Linked DNA regions of Saccharomyces cerevisiae S288C. The protein of the gene in region 2 binds, or shares a complex with, the protein of the main gene of each other region. Each region holds a gene or a part of one and is shown on either strand. Other genes may lie near its edges. The genes, in order: SNF4, SNF1 and SIP2. A codon is read from its position in the direction of its gene.

Region 1 (7,070 bases), on a different chromosome or scaffold from region 2:
AACAAAATGTAGCTGAAGCGTGTGGGTTAGATATGAATAAAAGAATACTACAATACATGCCGGAACCACCAAAATGCTCTTCCTTGAGACAAAAAAGCTATATCATGAAGAAAAGAACACATTATAGTTATCAGCAGGAACAAAAAATTCCTGATTTAATTAAATTAAGGAAAATCAATACCAATCCGGAAAGAATTCTTGATGCACCTGGTTTCCAAGACGACTTTTATTTAAACTTGTTAAGTTGGTCCAAAAAAAATGTCTTAGCTATAGCACTAGACACTGCATTATATCTGTGGAATGCCACCACTGGGGATGTTTCCCTGTTAACGGATTTCGAAAACACCACAATATGCAGCGTTACGTGGTCTGATGATGATTGTCATATCTCTATCGGTAAAGAGGATGGGAACACCGAAATTTGGGACGTTGAGACCATGTCATTAATTAGAACTATGAGATCAGGCTTAGGTGTCCGTATCGGTTCATTGTCTTGGTTAGATACTTTGATAGCTACAGGCAGTCGTAGTGGAGAAATTCAAATCAATGATGTCAGGATCAAACAGCATATTGTATCTACATGGGCAGAGCACACAGGCGAAGTCTGCGGTTTGAGCTATAAAAGTGACGGATTGCAACTTGCATCTGGTGGTAATGATAACACTGTAATGATTTGGGATACCAGAACGTCCTTGCCTCAATTTTCCAAGAAGACGCATACTGCTGCTGTAAAAGCACTAAGCTGGTGTCCATATTCGCCAAATATTCTAGCCTCTGGAGGCGGACAAACAGATAAACACATCCATTTTTGGAACAGTATCACAGGTGCACGAGTTGGCTCAATCAATACCGGATCCCAGGTGAGCTCTTTACATTGGGGCCAAAGTCATACGTCAACCAATGGTGGTATGATGAATAAAGAGATTGTTGCCACAGGAGGTAATCCAGAGAATGCAATCTCTGTTTATAATTATGAAACAAAATTCAAAGTTGCAGAAGTAGTTCATGCTCATGAAGCAAGAATATGCTGTTCTCAATTGTCCCCTGACGGAACCACATTGGCCACAGTGGGAGGAGATGAAAACTTAAAATTTTATAAGATATTTGATCCAAGATGTACAGGAAGATCGAGAGAAGACGGATTGATGGATGGTATGCTAGGACTTATTGGCAAGGAAGGTTGTCGAACAAATGATAAGGAGAATCGTTCCAAAAATTCGAGTGAGATTCATACAAGGAGGCCCTCTAGTACCAGCCAATATTTGATCAGGTGATAAAATAAAAAAAATAAAAGTTCATGTCAAGGCATATAATGAAATTTCCATACACGCATACATAATGTATAAACATAAATGTATTCAAGAAGCTTAAGAAATAAAAGTAATGAACCTTGAGAATACATCAAGATATAACTCATCACATGTTAAAGAACCCACACACCACACGCGCGAGAACTGGGAGGGAGAGAAATTTAGCAAATAACAAAATTTAGGCCTTGGAAGAAACCATAGCAATGCAATAATCGTTATTAACATAATATCTACATTGAGAACTTCTTGGGCTAGTGGTTTTGCTGCAAACTGGAAAATTGTATCAATCTTTTAACGTTAGCTAAACATCTTCTGCTGTGTTAGCATTAGGAGGAAGCGAAAAGGAAAATACATAATGAAACCGACACAGGATTCACAAGAAAAGGTTTCTATTGAACAGCAGTTAGCTGTAGAATCGATAAGGAAGTTTTTGAACTCGAAAACATCTTATGACGTGTTGCCTGTTTCTTACCGTTTAATTGTCTTGGACACCTCGTTGTTAGTGAAGAAATCACTGAATGTTCTTTTGCAAAATAGCATTGTCTCTGCGCCATTATGGGACTCCAAGACTTCCAGGTTCGCTGGACTTCTAACTACTACAGATTTTATTAATGTCATCCAGTATTACTTCTCCAATCCAGATAAGTTCGAATTAGTAGACAAATTACAGTTAGATGGATTAAAAGATATAGAGCGTGCTCTCGGTGTTGATCAACTAGATACAGCTTCAATTCATCCTTCTAGACCCTTATTTGAGGCGTGTCTTAAGATGTTAGAATCAAGAAGTGGTAGAATACCACTGATCGATCAAGATGAAGAGACACATAGAGAAATTGTCGTTAGTGTTCTTACGCAATATAGAATTCTGAAGTTCGTTGCTTTAAATTGCAGGGAAACACATTTTCTAAAGATTCCAATTGGGGACTTGAACATTATTACGCAAGATAACATGAAAAGCTGTCAAATGACCACTCCGGTCATAGACGTCATTCAGATGCTTACCCAAGGTCGGGTTTCTTCCGTCCCTATTATTGACGAAAACGGCTACTTAATCAACGTATATGAAGCATACGATGTCCTAGGCTTGATAAAAGGAGGCATCTACAACGACCTGTCATTGAGCGTCGGAGAAGCCCTTATGAGGAGAAGTGATGATTTTGAGGGTGTTTATACATGCACTAAGAATGATAAATTATCTACTATTATGGATAACATCAGAAAAGCAAGGGTGCATAGATTCTTTGTAGTTGATGACGTCGGACGGTTGGTTGGTGTCTTGACGTTAAGCGATATTCTCAAATATATCCTTCTAGGTAGCAACTGAAACGAGCCGATGAGATTTTTGTGTACATACTATAAATAAATGCAACTAATAAAGTCATGATTAATCAGTCATGCATACTTCATCTGACCAATATATTTTCATCTTGCTTATTTTGGGTATAATTCGGCGGAAATTCGGTTATAAAGCGAAGTGAAAAATCGATTAGTAATGATACTGATGCGATCTCTGGGAGGGGGGAATGCTGCATATAAGGGTGAAGGAAGATAATGCAAAGCCTTTTGTAGTATTGTCTGTTGATACCAAAATAAATTAGTTCATCAAAAAGGTACAGGCAGCTAAAGAAAAGCTGTAAATTTAACGCCGTAGAAGGTATTTTTCGTGAGATCTATCTCAAGGCATCATTTTTTTTATTTTCGCACCAAGATAGGAAGAAAAAGAGTCACAGTATAGAGGACTAACCGTTAAAGATTCTAAATCGGTACTGTAAATACTTTGAAATGCCTCAATCTACTCCAAGTCAAGAAGTACAGCGTGTACCATGGGATAATAAACCTGCTTTGAAGCAGATAACACTCCGAGCAACCATAGCAGGTATCGCTATAGGGTCTCTGGTGCTAACATCAAATTTTCAATTTGGCCTGCAAACCGGTTGGGTTTCCATGATGTCCCTGCCATCGGCATTGTTAGCTTGTGCTTTCTTTAAAAATATCTGGCCATTAATATTTCCGAACGACAGGCCTTTCAGTGACGTTGAAAATGTATACGTACAAAGTATGGCAGTAGCTGTCGGAACAGGCCCATTAGCCTTTGGGTTTGTCGGCGTCATACCTGCCATCGAGAAGTTCCTTACTAACGACGAAAGTGGTGGATTAAGGGAACAAGGACAGTCCTTCACTTTTAGAGAATTGTTAATATGGTCCACAGCCCTAGCATTCTTCGGTATTTTTTTTGCAGTTCCTCTAAGAAAGCAAGTAATTGTTAGAGAGAAACTTCCCTTCCCCAGTGGTAGCGCCACGGCCACTTTAATTTCAGTGCTAAATGGAACTGAGATTTTACAAGAGGTTTCTAAGTCAGAGTTATTGGAAATGAGGCAGAGGAGATTGAATGAATGCCCTGAAGTGCTACAACCCAACAGAGATCCAGAGGAGGCGGATTATTTAATGAACTCTTCTCATAGCGAACTTGGTGATTATACGGCAACTAGCCAAGATGGAAGTTCTATCCTTTCTACTGGCTCTGAGAACTACAGAGCGAATATTATTATTTTATTGAAAACTTTTGTTGTTTCTTCGCTTTACACCATGGTGTCATATTTTGTACCGGTAATACGGTCTATTCCAGTCTTCGGAAAATACCTCTCGAACAATTATCTCTGGAATTTTCAGCCGTCGCCTGCGTATATAGGCCAAGGGATAATAATGGGTCTTCCAACAGTATCGTATATGCTTATCGGGTGCTTCTTAGGCTGGGGTGTGTTAGCACCATTGGCGAGATACAAAAGATGGGTACCACCAGATGCTGATGTCCACGACTGGGAGGAGGGAGTGCAAGGATGGATTCTTTGGTCGTCGCTTTCAATAATGGTTGCTGACAGTGTAGTCGCTTTTATTGTTGTGACAGTGAAGTCCATTGTGAAATTTATTCTTATAGATGACAAAGCTGCTTTACTGAACAACATAATCGATGATACATTTCAATCTATGTTACTGGAGGAGGAACGCGCCATTAATAGCAGCAGAAGAAATACATATGTTGATGGAAGGCAGGACACCGTAAGATTAGTGAGTAGAGATAACGAAATAGAAGTAGATTCGAAGCATTTGGTTCGCTATACCACCGTTATCAGTGGATGTCTAGTCTCCTCGATAATATGCATTGTTTCCATAATATATTTGTTTGGGATACAAGTAATTCCCCTATATGCTATTATCACTGCTTTGATACTTGCGTTGTTTCTATCTATTCTCGGTATTCGAGCACTTGGAGAGACCGATCTGAATCCTGTGAGCGGCATTGGTAAGATCTCTCAATTGATTTTTGCCTTTATCATACCAAGGGATAGACCTGGATCAGTGTTAATGAACGTGGTATCGGGAGGTATTGCAGAAGCCTCTGCCCAACAGGCGGGCGATTTAATGCAGGATTTGAAAACGGGGCACCTCCTCGGCGCCTCCCCAAGAGCTCAGTTCTGTGCCCAATTGATAGGGGCCTGTTGGTCAATTATTTTGTCTAGCTTCATGTATTTGTGCTACAATAAAGTTTATTCAATTCCGAGTGAGCAATTCAGGATACCGACAGCAGTAGTGTGGATAGATTGTGCAAGACTAGTAACTGGTAAAGGGCTCCCTGATAAGGCCTTGGAGTGCTCCATGATTCTCGGAGTCATATTTGCCGTTTTATCATTAATCAGAAACACTTATAGAGATTACGGATACGGGTGGATATTATATATTCCGTCTGGTGTAGCAGTCGGTGTTGGTATATTTAATTCTCCCAGTTTTACAATTGCAAGATTCATCGGCGGGTGGGCTTCGCATTTTTGGTTGAAGAATCATAGGGGTGACTTAAATGCGAAAACAAAAATGATTGTATTCAGTTCGGGGTTGGTCTTAGGTGAAGGTATCTTTAGCGTAATAAACATGCTCTTCATCTGCTTAAATGTCCCTCACTATTAGGTATATAATATTTTACTAATAAAGAATTTACAAAGTTTACAAATTTTAAATTATTTACTCATCACATAATTCGATGTCTTAGATTTCCCTGTATATATATTTCTAGGTGACAAAAATCCTAGGCAAAATGTTATATTATACGCGACCTTGAAATATCGGCTATCTTGGTGTACAACATGGTCCATTTAAGAAAAATAAAAAAAAGTGATGGGCACTGTTAAAACAGGCAGAAGCCTCATTCATAACTGCTGAAGGGTTAAGATCGTATAGGTAGGAACGATCTGACCTCTCATAATGGAAACATGGGAAGTCATAGCATCGGTAAAAGAAGCAACAAAAGGCCTTGACTTGAGCTTAGATCATCCACTTATTATTAAATCCGAGGACGTGCCCAGTAACATTCTCCAATTACTGCAACAGAAGAATCGACGTCAATTGAAACACATCTGCATGAAATCAAGAAAAGAGTATTTTCTACTAGAGGAATATGGGCCAGGATTTTGGGTTAAGTGGCCGTACAATTATTTCAATGGTTACAGCTTACCAGAAAGGCGTACGGAAGTTGTAACGACAGTTGAAAGAGAAAGAGCTAAGCGTGAAACGTTAAAAACATGGGACGAATTGAAATTTAAAGAGCTTCTTCATTTATGGTCAGAAGAACCCAAGGGCTCGTGTAAGCTTGAGAAGGACAAAGACCTTAAACTGGATATGAATCCCCCAGATATGAAAGGCGAATCAAAAATTAATGACTACTATTCAGACCCTAAAGAGTACATAGAAAGTAAGTATTATGATGCTCTTTTTTCCATACATACGCCTCTCGCATATTTCGTCAAGTCAAATTTAGTAAGGCTCAAAAATACCTGCCGAACCAAGTACGGAAGTGACAGTTACAAAATAGCCTATCAAGCCATGCTGCAAAAATTTCTTCTCTCAATTGTACAATTCAAAGATAGACATGATAACAGGCTTTTATTAGAGCCCTTTTCTAGTCCCATAGCAGATGAAAAAAGGAAGAACTGTCTCACAAAATTTGTTATCCAAGATGAAAACAAAAACAGCTCAACCATTGCTGATTTATGTGTTGTATTAAAATCCCGCGAAATAAAGCTACAAATATTATTGCTATTAGAGATAATAGGATTGAACGATTTAGATTGGAATTTTAGAGATTTTGAGAAAAAGTATAAATTAAAATTGAAGAAAAGATCACTTAATTTGACAAAAAAGGGATTAGTTCGTCGAAGATCGAAGAAAAAAACCAGCGAAAAAGACAAAGGAATCGAGAGAATAACAACATCTTTGGATTATTGTGAACAGTTAGACTTGTACTTAGATAGAGCATGCATCTTGGACATTCTACTATCAAGTGAAACGCCCAACCCAGATGCCATAGAAGCATCAAATGGAACAATACAAGAGCATAAAAAAAATATCCTAGACAAAAGCAAAGAAGCCTCATTGGTTGGGTTCATAAATTATGTTCTTATTCCATATTTCAACAAAAAGGTACCACACGCCGTTGAATTTATAATTCAAAAGCTCAAGGGACCAAGCATGAGACCAAAGAGAGCCCTGAAAAAGGTCAACGATAGCACAAATGTATCGTCACCTAATACTGTAGAAACGTATAACAGGTTATCCACGAGTCAACGTGCCTCTCGCTCTTCAATCATTAATTCCGTCCCATCTTCACCCGCATTGAGAAGGGTGGACGCTAATTTGTTCAGCAGAAAATCTATAGCTTCGCCCACCCCTGAACTTTTGAATTCTAGAACGAACTCTAACTTGAATGAATTT
Region 2 (8,119 bases):
AGGATCTCGACAGTGACCTTGACAGAACGATCTTGCGGAATTATGAGTGTAACATAATCAAAAAGATCTTGCAATTTACGTTCTATTTCGTTCTGCGTATAACCAGATGTCCACTCGATAAAATTTTGGTGCTTTAATTTGTTGTCAGATTCCTCAGGCCCCAGAGAAAGTGCCCTTCTTGTACATATGGATCGTGATCTCGATCTGGATCGTGATCTTCTTGCTGAGCTAACACTCCTGCTATCATCCATCATCATTAGCATTCTTTTTCGCTCACTCATCGAATCATTGTCTTCGAAATTATTCTTAGTCAGGCGGGGCAGGTTTGCCAACACAACAATGTGGTCTGTATTTTGAATCAAAGTTCGTAGCGCCCAATCTAGTGCTACCCAAGTATGTTTCCTGCCGCTGATGTGGCACAATATCGTTCGAGGAGTGTTCGGGAACCCAACCTTTTCGCTCAAAACACGCTCTTTCCGCTTTTGAGACTTAGTCAAAGGCGTAAAGCCGTCTTCTATGGGAGGATTGAATTTTATTGTGGGAGTAGCGCCCTCAGACGACTTTTTTTTGTTTGGAGGAAACAGTATTGTTGGGTAATTGAAGAAATCGCGCTTTTGTTCTAATCGATGATCTATCTGATTTTTCTTCTTGATCCATAGTTGTCTCCAATTGGCATACGCCCTACTAATCACAAGAGCGTCATTGATATCGGTGGGTGTAGTAGGATAGTCTTCCCTTACAATTTTACCATTTTCAGAAATCTTAAACATCTTACCTATTTTGATGTTTCTTTTAGAGGCAGGAGGTGGAGAAGAATACCTGCCGGGACTAGCACTGCCCTCTCGCCTACTCGAATAGCTATTCCCGGAGAAGTAGTCGGCATTGTTGTCCGAGGTAAAGCCACTTTCGTCGTCATAATATTCCTCCATTGTATAATCTGCAGAGATCTGCACGCCAGGAAATTCTCTTTTCTCTTCATCTAAGGGCGAAGATACCCTTGATCTGGGAACTGTGTTGAAAGATACGCATGGTAGGTACTTTTCGTTGCTGCCTTTCCCCTTCTTTTTGACGGAACTGCTCGAGTCCAATATCGAGGCTAGACTGCGCCTGTCATCATTGTTGGACTTGTCCTCGTCCTGCTTAGCGAGTATGTCCACCGTATCCTCCAGCTGGTCCTGCCTGACATACAGCTTAACATATTTATAAGAATTTCTCAACGCCTCATCTTGATCTCGTACCACCATTTCCCCCTATGTTTTAGTATCTTCTGTTCCTTGTACTTTAAAGATTCCTTCCCTTAAAAATAGAAGAAAGCTTCTATTTGTTGATATTGCTTTCGAATAGTGAGTGGACTCAAGAGAAGAAAAAAACCTTTACAAAAATTATATGCAAAATATGTTGGAAAAGACAAAAGGGTTTTAAGTTGTGTTTACTAAAAAGTATATAGATAATTCTAGAGGTTATTGAGACATGCAGAATGCGTGTGCCACACCACCGCAGGTGGGTCATTCGGAAATTGTTCCTGTTGCTGCAGCGTCTGCTGCACTTTTCGCTAGAACTTTTCCAGTCGGATAGGGAGACAAAATGAAAAAAGGCCTCGGACTAATTAACTGACCCTTCGCCAAGAGTGCGAGCCTTAGTATCTAGACGTCTCGCAGGACCGTAACCTTCGAGGAGACCTAGAAGAAGCCACTCGGGCACGAACTCGCCAGGAACACGGTAGTACTTGAGCCTAGGGACGACGAAAATGAGCGTCTCGAGGGCGTGAGTCAGGAACTCGGCAACAATGATGAGTCGCAGCACAAGATCACTATCCAGCCACGCCTCTAAGGTGGAGCCCACAGGATTAGGGACCAGGAAAAAGATAGCGTGCAGTGCAGGACGATAGAGGTAGCACAATGGCGGTAGCGCCACGCCTACCAGGATCAACAAGTCTACTAGAGTGCAGGGGTACTCAACAGTGTCGATCTGGATGAGCGACAGCTTCCTCTTCTCCGCAGCGATGCGGAACATCTTGTTGAAGATTTGCTTGATTCCGGTAGCAGTGCGGGTATCGTTGCCCGTGTCATTGTCAATGAAGTAGATAATCTTCTCGATGTTCTGACCCGTTTCTGTGTGAAGGAACTTGAGCGTAAACGTGGACGTCTGCGTGTCGATCTCTGTCAGTCTGACATGCTTGACGGCCTTGGTAATGGGAACGTGGCCAAAAACGGCGAGACAATCCTCCAGCCCCAACTTGTGCGTATCGTTGATGCTTACAATTAACGAATCCCACATACTTGTGTATACCCGTATACTTGCTTGAGTTGATAGAACGCACGCTCTCGCCGATATAAGCCTCCACTCTTTATATATACCATATCCAAATAGGTGTGCACTTTGTGGCAAGGAGTAATTATAAACGAACAGAATATCCCGACCACATGGCAAGACCAAGAAAGTTCAAGACTGCGCAAGAAACGGCAGAACAGAAGCTGCTCACTAACTTCAACCTTGTAACTGAATTCGTAGGGTTAAAACTCCACCACGTTTGTAGCGGAGCAATGTCGCCTTTAAGAAGTCGCTAGCTATCTCTTTCGCCTCCGTATAGCAATCATTGTCTAATGCAATCCGCCATCGTTATGTCCGCGGCTTTTGTCTGGAGGGCAAATCACGATAGGAAGAGGCATCTTCTGTAGTAAAGGCGTCTGTAGTAAAACCTTTTCTTGGAAGCCATAACAAATCATGGCCACCAATGCCTGGCAAAAAAGGGTGGCATTGAAGGGAAATTTCAAAGATTTTTTTAATAGAGGCCCTAGGAAAAAACATGTCCGTACGTTTAGATACGGTTATAAACTGTACAATCATTTGCTATCAAATGCTGAACCTTCCCCAAGGGACTAAAAGCTGGAAATGGCAGTGTGCTACTATTTCTTTTAGTCGTATATTTAACTCTCGATCTTGCAGGCTATGATGTCCCATATGATGTCCCACATGACGCAAGTAACTTCAAAAAAAGAGGAATTGCGTGGCGGCGTGGATGCAAAAGGATGGGCGTGATGATGGGACTCGAGACCTGGTTTTACTCAATGTTAGTCATATGTATATAGTCCTTATAGGCCCATATTAGAAAGTACATGTCATAGTTACCCTCTGCAGTTTTTCTCGTAGCGGAAGGGGATGGAAATTTTTAACGTAAAAGAAAGTTGGTAAGAGTATGGCACATCAACAGGTAGCGTTATAGGGGCCAAGACATAGCTTTGGGCTTAGTACTGTAGGCTTGTTACCAGAACTTTCATTTATCGAAATATTCTTTTTTCACATTTCCTCTTACTGCGCATTCGTGTCCAAACAGTCATTCAGGAAGTATAACGATAAACAATAGATTGAAGCCTGAAAAAAAAAAAAAAAGCACGACAATAGAAATTGTTTCAGTGTCATTGGCTTTTGATAATATATAGAGGCTGTTTCAATAATCATAGCGAAAGAAATAGAAGTTTTTTTTTGTAACAAGTTTTGCTACACTCCCTTAATAAAGTCAACATGAGCAGTAACAACAACACAAACACAGCACCTGCCAATGCAAATTCTAGCCACCACCACCACCATCACCACCATCACCACCACCATCACGGTCATGGCGGAAGCAACTCGACGCTAAACAATCCCAAGTCGTCCTTAGCGGATGGTGCACATATCGGGAACTACCAAATCGTCAAAACGCTGGGAGAGGGGTCCTTTGGTAAAGTTAAATTGGCATATCATACCACTACGGGCCAAAAAGTTGCTCTAAAAATCATTAATAAGAAGGTTTTGGCAAAGAGTGATATGCAGGGCAGAATTGAAAGAGAAATATCTTATCTGAGACTCTTAAGACACCCCCACATCATCAAACTGTATGATGTTATCAAATCCAAAGATGAAATCATTATGGTTATAGAGTACGCCGGGAACGAATTGTTTGACTATATTGTTCAGAGAGACAAAATGAGCGAGCAAGAGGCAAGAAGATTTTTCCAGCAGATCATCAGTGCCGTCGAGTACTGCCATAGGCACAAAATTGTCCATAGAGATCTGAAGCCTGAAAACTTACTACTAGATGAGCATCTGAATGTAAAGATTGCCGATTTTGGTTTGTCAAACATCATGACTGATGGTAATTTCTTAAAGACTTCTTGTGGTTCTCCCAATTATGCGGCTCCTGAAGTTATCAGCGGTAAGCTGTACGCAGGCCCAGAAGTGGACGTGTGGTCATGTGGGGTTATCCTTTATGTTATGCTTTGTCGTCGTCTACCGTTTGACGATGAAAGCATCCCAGTGCTTTTCAAGAATATCAGCAACGGTGTTTACACCTTGCCTAAATTTTTATCTCCTGGAGCTGCTGGGCTAATCAAAAGAATGTTAATCGTTAATCCATTGAACAGAATAAGCATTCATGAAATTATGCAAGACGATTGGTTCAAAGTTGACCTGCCAGAATATCTACTTCCACCAGATTTGAAACCACACCCAGAAGAAGAGAATGAAAATAATGACTCAAAAAAGGATGGCAGCAGCCCAGATAACGATGAAATTGATGACAACCTTGTCAATATTTTATCATCGACCATGGGTTACGAAAAAGACGAGATTTATGAGTCCTTAGAATCATCAGAAGACACTCCTGCATTCAACGAAATTAGGGACGCGTACATGTTGATTAAGGAGAATAAATCTTTGATCAAGGATATGAAGGCAAACAAAAGCGTCAGTGATGAACTGGATACCTTTCTGTCCCAGTCACCTCCAACTTTTCAACAACAAAGCAAATCCCATCAAAAGAGTCAAGTAGATCATGAAACTGCCAAGCAACACGCAAGAAGGATGGCAAGTGCTATCACTCAACAAAGGACATATCACCAATCACCCTTCATGGATCAGTATAAAGAAGAAGACTCTACAGTTTCCATTTTGCCTACATCTTTACCTCAGATCCACAGAGCTAATATGTTAGCACAAGGTTCGCCAGCTGCCTCTAAAATATCTCCTCTTGTAACGAAAAAATCTAAAACGAGATGGCATTTTGGTATACGATCTCGCTCATATCCATTAGACGTTATGGGTGAAATTTATATTGCCTTGAAGAATTTGGGTGCCGAATGGGCCAAGCCATCTGAAGAGGATTTATGGACTATCAAATTAAGGTGGAAATATGATATTGGAAACAAGACAAACACTAATGAAAAAATACCTGATTTAATGAAAATGGTAATTCAATTATTTCAAATTGAAACCAATAATTATTTGGTGGATTTCAAATTTGACGGCTGGGAAAGTAGTTATGGAGATGATACTACTGTTTCTAATATTTCTGAAGATGAAATGAGTACTTTTTCAGCCTACCCATTTTTACATTTAACAACAAAACTAATTATGGAATTAGCCGTTAACAGTCAAAGCAATTGATGGTGGAACGTAAAAGAATGATATGGAAGTTCCCTTTTTTTTATGTATCGTAACGTATTTGCAACATCTTTATAATATCCCTTTGTATAAAGTAAACAATCTTGATTAAATAAACCTGAACATAATTTATTGATGTGAATGTTCTTTTATTGGCATTATTTCTTCGGATGAAAAGCAAATTTCACGCTCTATGAGAAAAATTGAAAACGCTATTCTATGTGAAAATAGAGATGAGTACTACTAGTGGCTACAATAAAAATACTGAACCTTTGACAATCGTACAACAAAAGGATCCCAAAAATGAATAAAGACCAGGCAGAAAAATATCAAGAACGGAGTCTGCGACAAAAATACAACCTACTACATGTACTGCCAACACTGAATTCCAGAGCGTTATCGGGACTATACTATAAAAATTTTCATAATTCTGTGAAGCGATATCAAATCATGCTGCCAGAACAACTGAAAAGTGGGAAATTTTGCTCCCATTGCGGGTGTGTTTACGTTCCTAATTTTAACGCAAGTCTTCAGTTAACGACTAATACCGAGCAAGGTGACTCCGACGAACTTGGCGGCGAGAGTATGGAAGGACCAAAAAAATGTATCCAGGTTAATTGCTTGAATTGTGAAAAGTCTAAATTGTTTGAGTGGAAATCTGAGTTCGTTGTTCCAACATTTGGACAAGATGTTAGTCCGATGATCAATAGTACCAGCAGCGGGAAGGTTTCGTACGCGGTAAAGAAGCCCCAAAAGAGTAAAACTAGTACTGGTAAGGAGAGATCCAAGAAGAGAAAGTTGAACTCACTTACAAACCTTTTATCGAAAAGAAATCAAGAGAAAAAAATGGAAAAGAAGAAAAGTTCGTCACTGTCATTAGAAAGTTTTATGAAAAGTTGACTGTATCATCAGTGAACATATAGTATAACAAATCAAGTTTATATAGTTGAATTGAGAGTGTCTGTTAGCTCTTCGATTGACGGATAAGATGCATCCGCGTCGATATTGTTGAGATTAGGAATAGTACCGTTTATACTTTCCTCATCAGCGCGGTCATCATCACTACTGTGAGTTAGACCGCCACTCATTGAACCCTTCGTCACGCCATGTACGCCTTGCCTATATGTTTCTTCCCTCAATGGATTAACTACTTCCTCCTCACCAAGGTTTGAAGAAATACCAGAATCCAGTTTTTTCCGCACGCAACTGTTGGTCCACATTCGCCTTCTATATGAGCCCCTTTGTCCATCAAGATTGAGGTCATAGACCCATTTTGTTTCTGAATCTATCTCGACATACTGAATAAATTCGTCCTCTACCCATTCTTTTGGATCCAAATCAAGCACCCAATGAGAATTGGCTTCCCATTCCCAATCCTTAGGTGGCTCAATTTCTTCTAATGACTTCACTGAATTTTCCTCAATACGCCTCTGGTATATTCTCAAACTAGAGAAAAGAGAATAATCGTCATCAGAGAATCCAACTGGGCGCCATTCTTTGTATTCAGGAAGATACTTTTGGATCTCAAAGATCATAACAAGTCGGTGCTCCCTAGCCTCAATGAGTTTCAAATGCTGCAAAATCTTAGATTCCAGATTAGTACTTATAGTCAAAGTTTTTAATCTTGTCTCCTCCGAATTCAATTTAGTCAACAAATATTCACGATTGGACGGATGCGAGGCAATAAAAAAACCCCAACCTAGCAGTATCAGTACGGGTCTCATTGGAATGAGCTTGATAAATTTATCCATGTACAGAAAATTTAATGTTGCTATTATTAACAATACAATAAAATAAAACGACGAAATAGCCTCGTTGGTGAAGAATGCAAACTTTTGTAATATGAGTAAAGTAAAATCGTAGAATTTAACATATAGCAGCATATGGTTTTGTAAATCCGTGAGGTTTAAGACAAATTCTTGGCTCAGTTCAGGGACTGGTTTAGGAACCTCAGGTCTTCGCAAAGGTGGGCCTTGTGCTGGTGTTTGATTATTATCTAGATAGCTTGTAGGGTTTGGCTTATGAATGTAAAGGTATTGCGGGACCATTACGCAGAATAACAAATAGAATATAGGGAGCGAAGAAAGCATTTGAAAAGGTTTCAATATAATGAGCGTGTATAAGAACATGATAGATACTGTATACGCTGGGTTAGTCCAGTTTAATATCTTTATTAATTCATCCATAATCATGAATGGTACCCCTAGTCTCGAGTTCATCTGTATAAAATTCCTACTCGTGATCTGCACAGACAGCTTAGGCCTTTCTTTACCAGCAACCATACGATGGTGAATTGTATCAACAGCCGTTTTGGAAGATGGTGGTAATGCCATTTTGATTATCTTCTCTACCAGGGTATCTGCCATCATCTTTTGGATGTTTGATGTCGAGGGAAAACCGCCACCACTAGTTGGCTGTCCACTGGAAGATGGCAGACTACCACGTGTAGGATCACTAGTTCTAGAACCACTAGATATGCTCTCTTTCTTTGCCTGACTTTTTCCATCTATGCCATTTTGCACTTTCTTCCCCTTGAGAGTTGATCTAGTTGGAGTACCAGCATTATAGGTGTCATTCCAGAAAAAATTTGTCACCGAGTCCATCTAGACGTATATACAGTAGGAGACTGAAATTTTGCTACGTATACAGGTGAGTATATTCATGCGGCCTGATCAGTAATTAAAAATACACACTATTC
Region 3 (7,457 bases), on a different chromosome or scaffold from region 2:
GGCCTCACAAAAATTTGATCCAGTCTTTTCGTTCTTCCAGTTTTATTTTCAATCAATTTGTCCTGTTGAACAACATCAGCAAGCGCCTTACGTTCTTGCTCTCTCTTTGTGGCTTCTTTTTTCAAATCTGCAATTTGTTTAAAGGTTTCACTCATGCGGTCACCATCTTTGGATCTTAGTGTAATCGAACGTACAAATTGATTGTCTGCTGATTCCTCATACGGCAATTCCTCCACTTTTTTAGAAATACCACCAGAAGATCCCGGTGAATTAAAGTTCAAACGTAAATACGTATATTCGCCTTCTTCGTTTTTAGAACCATTCTTATATGAATTTATATGAAATGGGACTGGCCTACCGTAAATGGGTAGAATAATTGTTTGGCTTTTCCAGTCGACATGAATTCTTAGATCACGAATATTGGTTGGTAGTTGTGAATCCCGAACATAAGATTCATATTTTTTGAAGTATTGACGAGGTTCACTATCTGGGCCATTGGCATCAGCAGCACTAAATCTGAGTAATCCATTCTTTTCCAATTTTTCGTGTAGCTTCTTTTGGTTTTCTTTACGAATTTGCTCCTTTTGAGCGTCTTCGGCACCACCACGGGCTTCGCCACGTAACTTTGTTCTTAAAATTTTGGAATTTCTGTCTGGTTTACTAGGGACTTTGGTGGCAGGTGAAGATTTCTTTTTATTATTGTCTTCTTCTTCATTATTGAAATAAAATGATATCTGGGATTTGGCTTTGGTGTAATTTGTTAAGAAGCGTGGAGGCTCTGTTTCATCGAGAGGAATTTGAACCGTATCAGCTAATTGTAAAGCGTAGTTGTTAGCACTTTGAGAATCTTTCAGATTATTGAAACCAAACGAAATATTAAAGCAGTCACCGCGTTGGATTTTACGGTAATCATTCTTAACATTTAATATAAAGTTAGAATCTCTAAATTCGAGACCAATCAATGAACCAATGTTTTTGGTGAAATTGGGCACTAGTTCAGGTTTGGTTTTTTCGATGTATTCTATTACTGATTCATAAACTTCTTTTGGTGTACGGCCGGGCTTCAGAATGTTAGTTACAATTTCTTTTTGCAAAGTTAATAGAAAATCGTAGTTGTTGGCCATTTCTTCAGATGGATCGATCAAAAAGGTCCTAGTAATATTAGAACAATAATTATTGTAACGAATACCACATGAAGCTAAAATACAACCGTTGCCGTACAACTGATCATTGGTAGAACGGGCAGAAACCCTAAGATCAAACTTTTTCCCGGACTGAATGATTGGAGAATAGGTCCAATCCAATAAATCAAAGTTGAATTTGTAGTTTGGTGGGCATAATGCGCTTAAATCGGGACTCAATTGCTTCAAAAATTTCACATCATCAATTTTATTTTCAATTTTGTCTGATAACTTGGCATTGGTGATTTTCAACTCCTCGTCAACTGCCCGAACCATTTCATTGGATAAAAGGTCCATAAATTTGTCCGACCCCTTACTTGAAACGGACAGGAAGGCTTGTTCGTTAACATCCTTCACTTCCCAAACTTTAGAAAGACCCAGCGAAATATCAATGACATTGAATTCGTTCTCCTTCACAGCCGCTTCCCATACTGGGTTCCACTCAGTCATAAATTTACCTTGGTAAGAGTCCTTTTCAGGGATACCCACTGTTTTACCAGCGCTATTGATTAAGGCAATAACGTCATCAAATAACTTTTTATTGAGTTCTGGTTCTTTATTGTTTCTTTGCCACAATTCCAGCGTAATTTTGCTTTCAGGGTCTTTAAATAGATCAATTGCCTTTTGTAAATGCTTGGCCTTGGCAGAACTAGTAATTATAATAACCTTTCCGGGAACTAATGCAATCAAAGTAGCGGGAAATTCGTAACTTAGCAACCAATTATGCAATATGGTCGTCTTCTGGTACGGGTTTTCAGCGTTGGACGAACCTAAAACAAACAGCAGCGAATTTGGAGAACCTTCAAACTCATTGTACTTGGAATACAACAATTCAATCCTTTTCTTAAATACGTCAAAATCAATATTCAGCTCTTCCATATTCACTTAAATACACGAAGCCAGTTCACGAAAGGTGCAATATCAGAAAGGAGTAAAGTTGGAATAGCTGAACTTTTTACCTTTTAGTCCCGTGACTCTCTTAGCTACTTTTATTCCTCTTCTCACCAATATTAAGATTTCAATATTCTTTCGTTAGAAAAGTGGCGATTCTCATTTTCCGAAAAAAAAAAAGATCACGCGACTTCCGGGTATTAGTATCGTGGTTTGTGATAACAATAAGCATTGAGAGTACTGAGCCCATTAGTAAATCATTATGTTATATGCTTCTATATCTCTGCTTACACTAAATTGGAAATAGAAATTAGTGTGCCATAGCTGCCAAAAATATATACAATACGCCTTTAAAAAGTAGGAATCCCGGATTACGAGGACTCTATGGGCGTATAAAGAATCTGGGTGACATATTTCTGTTTATATCGAACGATGGAGGCTACACAAAGTGTATTGTGCTTAATGCTACTAGTAACCAAGTGGTTAAGCACCACATGGTTCGGAATGGGCAGAGCGCCTGAGTTGTTCTCGTTGAACTGGTCTTGCGTGGCATAGTATTTATTCAAGATAACATTCTCCAACTGAGGAGGTAATTGGGGTGGTGTCAGCCATGACGTATCAGTATTGCTTTGCTGACGATCCAAGGTATAATAGTATCGTTCCATGACAGACGGGTCAGTAAACACGGCGGGAATGTCTGTTGTATATTCCAACGGAGGTCTGGGTGACAGATCTTCATGAAACCTTGTATATCCGTCACCAAAATCGTCTGGATCCTTACCAATTTGTAGAGCAATTGAGGATCGATCGCTGGTGGGAGGTCGCATGGAATCTGCTTCCTTGGACCTTATCTTTTCGTTAGTTGGGTTTTTTTCTGGTTGCCTGACTTCTATGTAATTGACGAAGTTTCCCATCTGATCAGTTGCTGTGGGCAGGAAATCACTAACTCTAAGCTCATTATCCACTATAAATCTGAATCTATGTGTGCCTGGAAGCAGCCTTAGCTTCACATGAAATGAGCCATTATTGTCAGAATCAGGTATCAAACCGATCATTTTCCTCCATTTGGTGAATGAGCCTGTCACGTAAACTTTTGAACCACCTTGCTGCCACCTTATCTCCACGGGAACCATTAATGAGCTCTTGATTTCACTTGGACCTCCCGAAGCTTCTTTGGCACGTATTTGCTGTTGTCCCTCCTCTCTGGGCGAAGAATGGCCTGAGCGATCATCATCAGGACTGGCATCTTGCTTGGGCTCTGTCGTCTGGGCAATAATATCTCCCTCTTCATCATCGCTAGTAGACGAAGACCCAGAGTCAGTGTCCACAGCAGTTTCCATAACAGATAGCTTTGGCATAGTGGGCTCGTCCTCATCACGCAGCAATAACGTCGATTTTTTTTTGGTAATAGATCCCTCCCTTGAAGGCTGCCCCGCGTCTTGGGAATCTGAACATTTATTTAAGCTCAGTTCAGTAACTTTCTTGCTCACAGCATCCATTTCTTGCGGTTCGCAGCCTTGAGCATTGCTGGGTTTTTCTCTAACGTCACTCATGATAGGTGCACGACACTTTTTTGTTGTTTGCTTTTTTTGGGCTGGATGACTTGTCGTAGTACCCATAGAAACTTCACTGCTCTCAGTACCCTTCCAAAAGCACAATTATTTCAGATACTTTTCATTTCCCAGGAATCTTGTGGTGTATTTATCCTTTCCCTAAAAGATTTTGACGATCCGAAAACGCAAGGTAAATCTTTACTCGGTCCAAGGGAGCAATATAAAAGACCATGCCGGCCGCAATTCGTATAGGTAAACGTGCTATTCATGACGATGCTAGTTAGTGATATGCATGGTTATCTATTTAATCTATCTATGTAAGTACGCGTTATATGCTAAGTTGTTTCATGACAGTTCGTTAGAGGAAAAATGGTGAGATAAAAAGGGGCCGTAAAGGTTAAACTCTTTTGGGACCGTTGAAAACATCAATTTGTTTCAGTAGGTTACGTACAGGCGGCAATTTTACGCCTGACAATTTCTTTCGGCTTTTGCTAGATTCATGATCTAGCGACTCGTGCTCCTCCTCATTACTACCACTGCTGCTGTTATTGGTATCTTCTTCTTGTTCTTCAGGAATTTCGAATTTTGCTCTTTCCCTCCTAGTCTTGGTGGTGTATCTATTGGAATCTAAATAGACGGACTCAAGTTCTTTGGCCACGGCGAGCTGAGAAGGAGCATTGCTGAAAGGCAAAGAGATAGCGCTGCTGGATGCAGAGGTATGACTGGAATCACTTGGTGAGGATGGTGATTCTATAGTGGTGGAAGGGGCACTTACAGGCGTTCTTTTTTGTAAGGTAGATAATGCAGATGCAAGAGAATGTGCAAAAGTTTTCTGCTGCTTGGCAACAGAAGGGCTGGCAGTTTGATGCTGATACTGCTGTGGGATATGTTGCTGGTGTAAATATCCATCATTCGGAGAGTTTGGCACAGAGCGTGGAGTGTTTACGCGAACATTCATGTTCGAGAAGATAGATGAAACATCACTATTTGACTGTATGGAGCCAATAGAGCTCTGGAAAGAGGTGAATGATTGCGATGGAACTGGAGTGTATGTAGAAATTGGCATAGGAGAAGTTGCAGGCTGGAAAGATGCAGCGGAGGCATGAATGGGGGCTGGTTGGGCCATGATTGGTATCACCATTGGGTGCACCGCATTGGGAGCGTGTATAATGTTACCTCCATTTACTGCCTGAACATTTATGGCCATATTTGCTGGTAGGACTTGCGGTATTGGTTGGTGTATCATCACGCCCGATGCAATGGTAGGAATTCCGCTTACTGTCAAAAACTCCTGTTTCTGTACGCTAGCTTTCTTCAATCTCCTTTGAGATTGCCCTGTATGCGTTCTCATGTGCCTTTTCAGTTCATCGCTTCTACTGAAACTTTTCCCACAACCAGGAAATGCGCAATGATGAGGTTTTTCCCCAGTGTGTGTTCTCAAGTGTCTCTTTTTATGTTCTAACCGATGGAAACCACGGTGACAGGTATCACATCTAAAAGGTCTGTTTTCGTTATCTACTGGGAAATTCGTTTGCTTTTTAGGCATTCTCTTTTTTTATTTTTATTTTGTTTGTTCTCGAGGTCAATAGTCTTAGCGTGAGTTAAAACTTAATTGAGAGTTAAGATAAGCTACACAATGGTAATAGTACAAGGACAAGCACACAATTTGACAGGCAGATCGTAAGTTACTACGTATTATAGACGGGTTTCCCAATCGCTTATATACCAGAAACGCTTTTGACCGGGAATGATTTTCGGAAAAACTTTCTCGCACGGATTATTTACCGTATCCTCGTACGAGATTTTTCTCAGCGGCATATAATTTAGAGTTATTACTTCAGTTTTGCGGGTGCTCCGTGGATGTCTCCGCGGATAAATTTTCGGATGAGCCAAAAAAGTGGAGGCGGGGTTTCTTATCCCGGCTTTTTTTCTTCTTCGTATGAGCCTATCAATCATTAACTGATGGTAATACGCTAACTTCAATGGGGAAAGGGGAGAGCTAGTTGACGCAAGCTCCGCAGGGGCGATAGGGCAACTACAGCACATCGCCACAGCTTATTAATTCGCACCGTGGAGATGATGGTCGCTCGTAAATCAGCTCAGTGAAGATTATCGTTTGCCATCGTGCTTCTCATATTACATATTCAAACAAACTACCACAGAACTATCATTGGGGTAGGTATAGCTCAAATTCAACAAGGCCTGCCTTAAGGGCCATAAACTATTTTATACTTTCTTTGTTTTTACAAGTGGGGGAAAGAAAGAGCGACAACCGATTTTTCTAACCTTCTTGGAACCGAGAACGGTAATTTCCGTAAATAAAACGCAATTACTGTATCGAGCGAGTTTGTTTTCCGAAACACGCTCTAATGTAGATTCGAAAAAATAATGATATCAAAGATGAGTAGGCCAATATGAAAAAATAACAAAAAACTTAGCAACAGAAATTGAATCATTGTCGTACCCCATCCTTGCGTACGTAAACAGCCTTCCTTCTCCTGCCTACCCCTCACGTCGTCTCGGATAAACCTTCAAAACCCGCAATTTCGGAAAAACTTCCAATATAAACCATGACGAAATTTGTATCCGGGAAGGTACGTGAAATACACAGAGCGAACGTTTATAAAACCGTCTAATTCTGCTCATGCGTGCGGAAAAAAACATACACGTGTGTTTTTAGACTGCACAACAACAGAATATTTAAATCGTAAAAAAAAAATCATATTCTTATCTTCGGCTATTGCAAAATGCAGGCGTCAGGAAAGGTCTATTTAGAAAATGTATGTACGTTAATACATTTTTTCTTGCGTGCAACGAAGGTTAGTAATAAATAACTTGGGAAGGTATATGTAATTGATTATATTTATAAAAGCATTATTAACGGGGGTTATATGTAGACAGAATATGCATGAAACCATGCGACCTTAGTAGGGCACAAAATTTTTAACAACAGTTGCTGGATTTTTTCTTCTTGTCTTCCTTTGGTGCCGGTGTTAAGCTGATGGTAGGACCCTTTGGAGCGCCATTAGAGCCCATGTTGTTGGTACCCGACCCGCTTAAGTCTACTTGATGTTTGCTTACCATTTGGAAGATGGCTACGATCAGTTCTCTAAATGCTTTATCTACATTATCACTATTTAAAGCACTTGTCTCAGTAAATAACATTTGGTTTTCCATTGCGAAATTTTTCGCTTCATCGGTTGGTACTGCTCTTAAATGAGCCAGATCTGATTTGTTCCCTATCAACCCAACAGCCACGTTGTCATCTGCGTTCTCTCTCAGTTCGGTAAGCCAGTGGTTGCAATTTTCGTATGAACTTGATTTGCTTATATCATACACTATAAGTGCACCTACAGCACCACGGTAGTACGCAGACGTGATGGCCCTGTAACGTTCTTGACCTGCCGTGTCCCAAATCTGTGCTTTTATCTTCTTGTTTTCAACTTCAATGGTTCTTGTAGCGAATTCCACGCCAATCGTGGATTTGGATTCAATGTTGAATTCATCGGTTGTAAATCTCGACAACAGATTAGATTTACCCACACCGGAGTCGCCGATAAGAACTATCTTAAATAAATAATCGTAGTCGTATCCGTAATCTTCGTTGCTCATTCTTGGAAAACAATATGCTTGGTTCGCTCTTTATCACCACGCTTTTCCTCTCTTTCCAGCGCGAACCATGCAATGGCCAGCTTTATAGCTGATTCTTTTATTTGTCTTTATTGTGTTGCGCGTTCTAATGGAGGGCGCGCCGTACTATATTATATTATATTATGTTACGCTGCATTCTTCTACTGCGAGCTATATATATGTCAAAAGCTGAGTTTCTCAA

Evidence for each region.
Region 1: the proteins of SNF1 (region 2) and SNF4 are in contact, whole or in part, in a crystal structure (PDB 3T4N), measured with the Saccharomyces cerevisiae proteins. Residues at the interface, in NP_010765.3 of Saccharomyces cerevisiae: Ser465 (codon at 4,915), Thr466 (codon at 4,918), Val467 (codon at 4,921), Ser468 (codon at 4,924), Ile469 (codon at 4,927), Leu470 (codon at 4,930), Thr472 (codon at 4,936), Ser473 (codon at 4,939), Leu474 (codon at 4,942), Pro475 (codon at 4,945), Gln476 (codon at 4,948), His478 (codon at 4,954), Arg479 (codon at 4,957), Met482 (codon at 4,966), Ser487 (codon at 4,981), Ala489 (codon at 4,987), Ala490 (codon at 4,990), Ile493 (codon at 4,999), Ser494 (codon at 5,002), Pro495 (codon at 5,005), Leu496 (codon at 5,008), Thr498 (codon at 5,014), Lys499 (codon at 5,017), Lys500 (codon at 5,020), Ser501 (codon at 5,023), Tyr550 (codon at 5,170), Pro563 (codon at 5,209), Gly588 (codon at 5,284), Trp589 (codon at 5,287), Ser608 (codon at 5,344); in NP_011400.1 of Saccharomyces cerevisiae: Leu41 (codon at 1,786), Val43 (codon at 1,792), Leu58 (codon at 1,837), Gln59 (codon at 1,840), Ser61 (codon at 1,846), Trp68 (codon at 1,867), Ser70 (codon at 1,873), Ser73 (codon at 1,882), Phe75 (codon at 1,888), Asp151 (codon at 2,116), Gln152 (codon at 2,119), Asp153 (codon at 2,122), Glu154 (codon at 2,125), Glu155 (codon at 2,128), Thr156 (codon at 2,131), Ile160 (codon at 2,143), Met204 (codon at 2,275), Leu232 (codon at 2,359), Ile233 (codon at 2,362), Asn234 (codon at 2,365), Gly243 (codon at 2,392), Lys246 (codon at 2,401), Leu255 (codon at 2,428), Gly258 (codon at 2,437), Glu259 (codon at 2,440), Leu261 (codon at 2,446), Met262 (codon at 2,449), Arg263 (codon at 2,452), Arg264 (codon at 2,455), Ser265 (codon at 2,458).
Region 3: the proteins of SNF1 (region 2) and SIP2 are in contact, whole or in part, in a crystal structure (PDB 3T4N), measured with the Saccharomyces cerevisiae proteins. Residues at the interface, in NP_010765.3 of Saccharomyces cerevisiae: Lys502 (codon at 5,026), Thr503 (codon at 5,029), Arg504 (codon at 5,032), Trp505 (codon at 5,035), His506 (codon at 5,038), Phe507 (codon at 5,041), Gly508 (codon at 5,044), Ile509 (codon at 5,047), Pro515 (codon at 5,065), Leu516 (codon at 5,068), Met519 (codon at 5,077), Gly520 (codon at 5,080), Tyr523 (codon at 5,089), Ile524 (codon at 5,092), Lys527 (codon at 5,101), Ala531 (codon at 5,113), Glu532 (codon at 5,116), Trp533 (codon at 5,119), Ala534 (codon at 5,122), Lys535 (codon at 5,125), Pro536 (codon at 5,128), Glu538 (codon at 5,134), Glu539 (codon at 5,137), Leu541 (codon at 5,143), Trp542 (codon at 5,146), Lys545 (codon at 5,155), Leu546 (codon at 5,158), Arg547 (codon at 5,161), Gln571 (codon at 5,233), Leu572 (codon at 5,236); in NP_011307.1 of Saccharomyces cerevisiae: Glu304 (codon at 2,782), Tyr305 (codon at 2,779), Thr306 (codon at 2,776), Thr307 (codon at 2,773), Asp308 (codon at 2,770), Ile309 (codon at 2,767), Pro310 (codon at 2,764), Val312 (codon at 2,758), Phe313 (codon at 2,755), Met319 (codon at 2,737), Tyr322 (codon at 2,728), Trp337 (codon at 2,683), Leu338 (codon at 2,680), Thr339 (codon at 2,677), Pro340 (codon at 2,674), Pro341 (codon at 2,671), Gln342 (codon at 2,668), Leu343 (codon at 2,665), Pro344 (codon at 2,662), Gln346 (codon at 2,656), Leu347 (codon at 2,653), Asn349 (codon at 2,647), Leu352 (codon at 2,638), Asn353 (codon at 2,635), Tyr356 (codon at 2,626), Asp360 (codon at 2,614), Val377 (codon at 2,563), Leu378 (codon at 2,560), Asn379 (codon at 2,557), His380 (codon at 2,554).

Annotation. Positions count from the first base shown.
Region 1 is NC_001139.9:290,368-297,437, forward strand, and holds SNF4 (AMP-activated serine/threonine-protein kinase regulatory subunit SNF4), read left to right. Parts: upstream 1-1,665; coding exon 1,666-2,634; downstream 2,635-7,070. Other genes in the region: ubiquitin-protein transferase activating protein CDC20, read left to right, coding at 1-1,274; YGL114W (uncharacterized protein), read left to right, coding at 3,093-5,270; SLD3 (Sld3p), read left to right, coding at 5,565-7,070. UniProt on the Saccharomyces cerevisiae protein: Adenine nucleotides-binding subunit gamma of AMP-activated protein kinase (AMPK), an energy sensor protein kinase that plays a key role in regulating cellular energy metabolism.
Region 2 is NC_001136.10:1,408,851-1,416,969, forward strand, and holds SNF1 (AMP-activated serine/threonine-protein kinase catalytic subunit SNF1), read left to right. Parts: upstream 1-3,522; coding exon 3,523-5,424; downstream 5,425-8,119. Other genes in the region: JIP4 (Jip4p), read right to left, coding at 1-1,244; YDR476C (uncharacterized protein), read right to left, coding at 1,603-2,277; SNM1 (Snm1p), read left to right, coding at 5,725-6,321; PEX29 (Pex29p), read right to left, coding at 6,360-8,024. UniProt on the Saccharomyces cerevisiae protein: Serine/threonine protein kinase essential for release from glucose repression.
Region 3 is NC_001139.9:93,572-101,028, reverse strand, and holds SIP2 (Sip2p), read right to left. Parts: upstream 3,692-7,457; coding exon 2,444-3,691; downstream 1-2,443. Other genes in the region: chromatin-remodeling protein SPT16, read right to left, coding at 1-2,060; MIG2 (Mig2p), read right to left, coding at 4,023-5,171; Rab family GTPase YPT32, read right to left, coding at 6,569-7,237; NCS6 (Ncs6p), read right to left, coding at 7,438-7,457. UniProt on the Saccharomyces cerevisiae protein: Beta subunit of the SNF1 kinase complex, which is required for transcriptional, metabolic, and developmental adaptations in response to glucose limitation.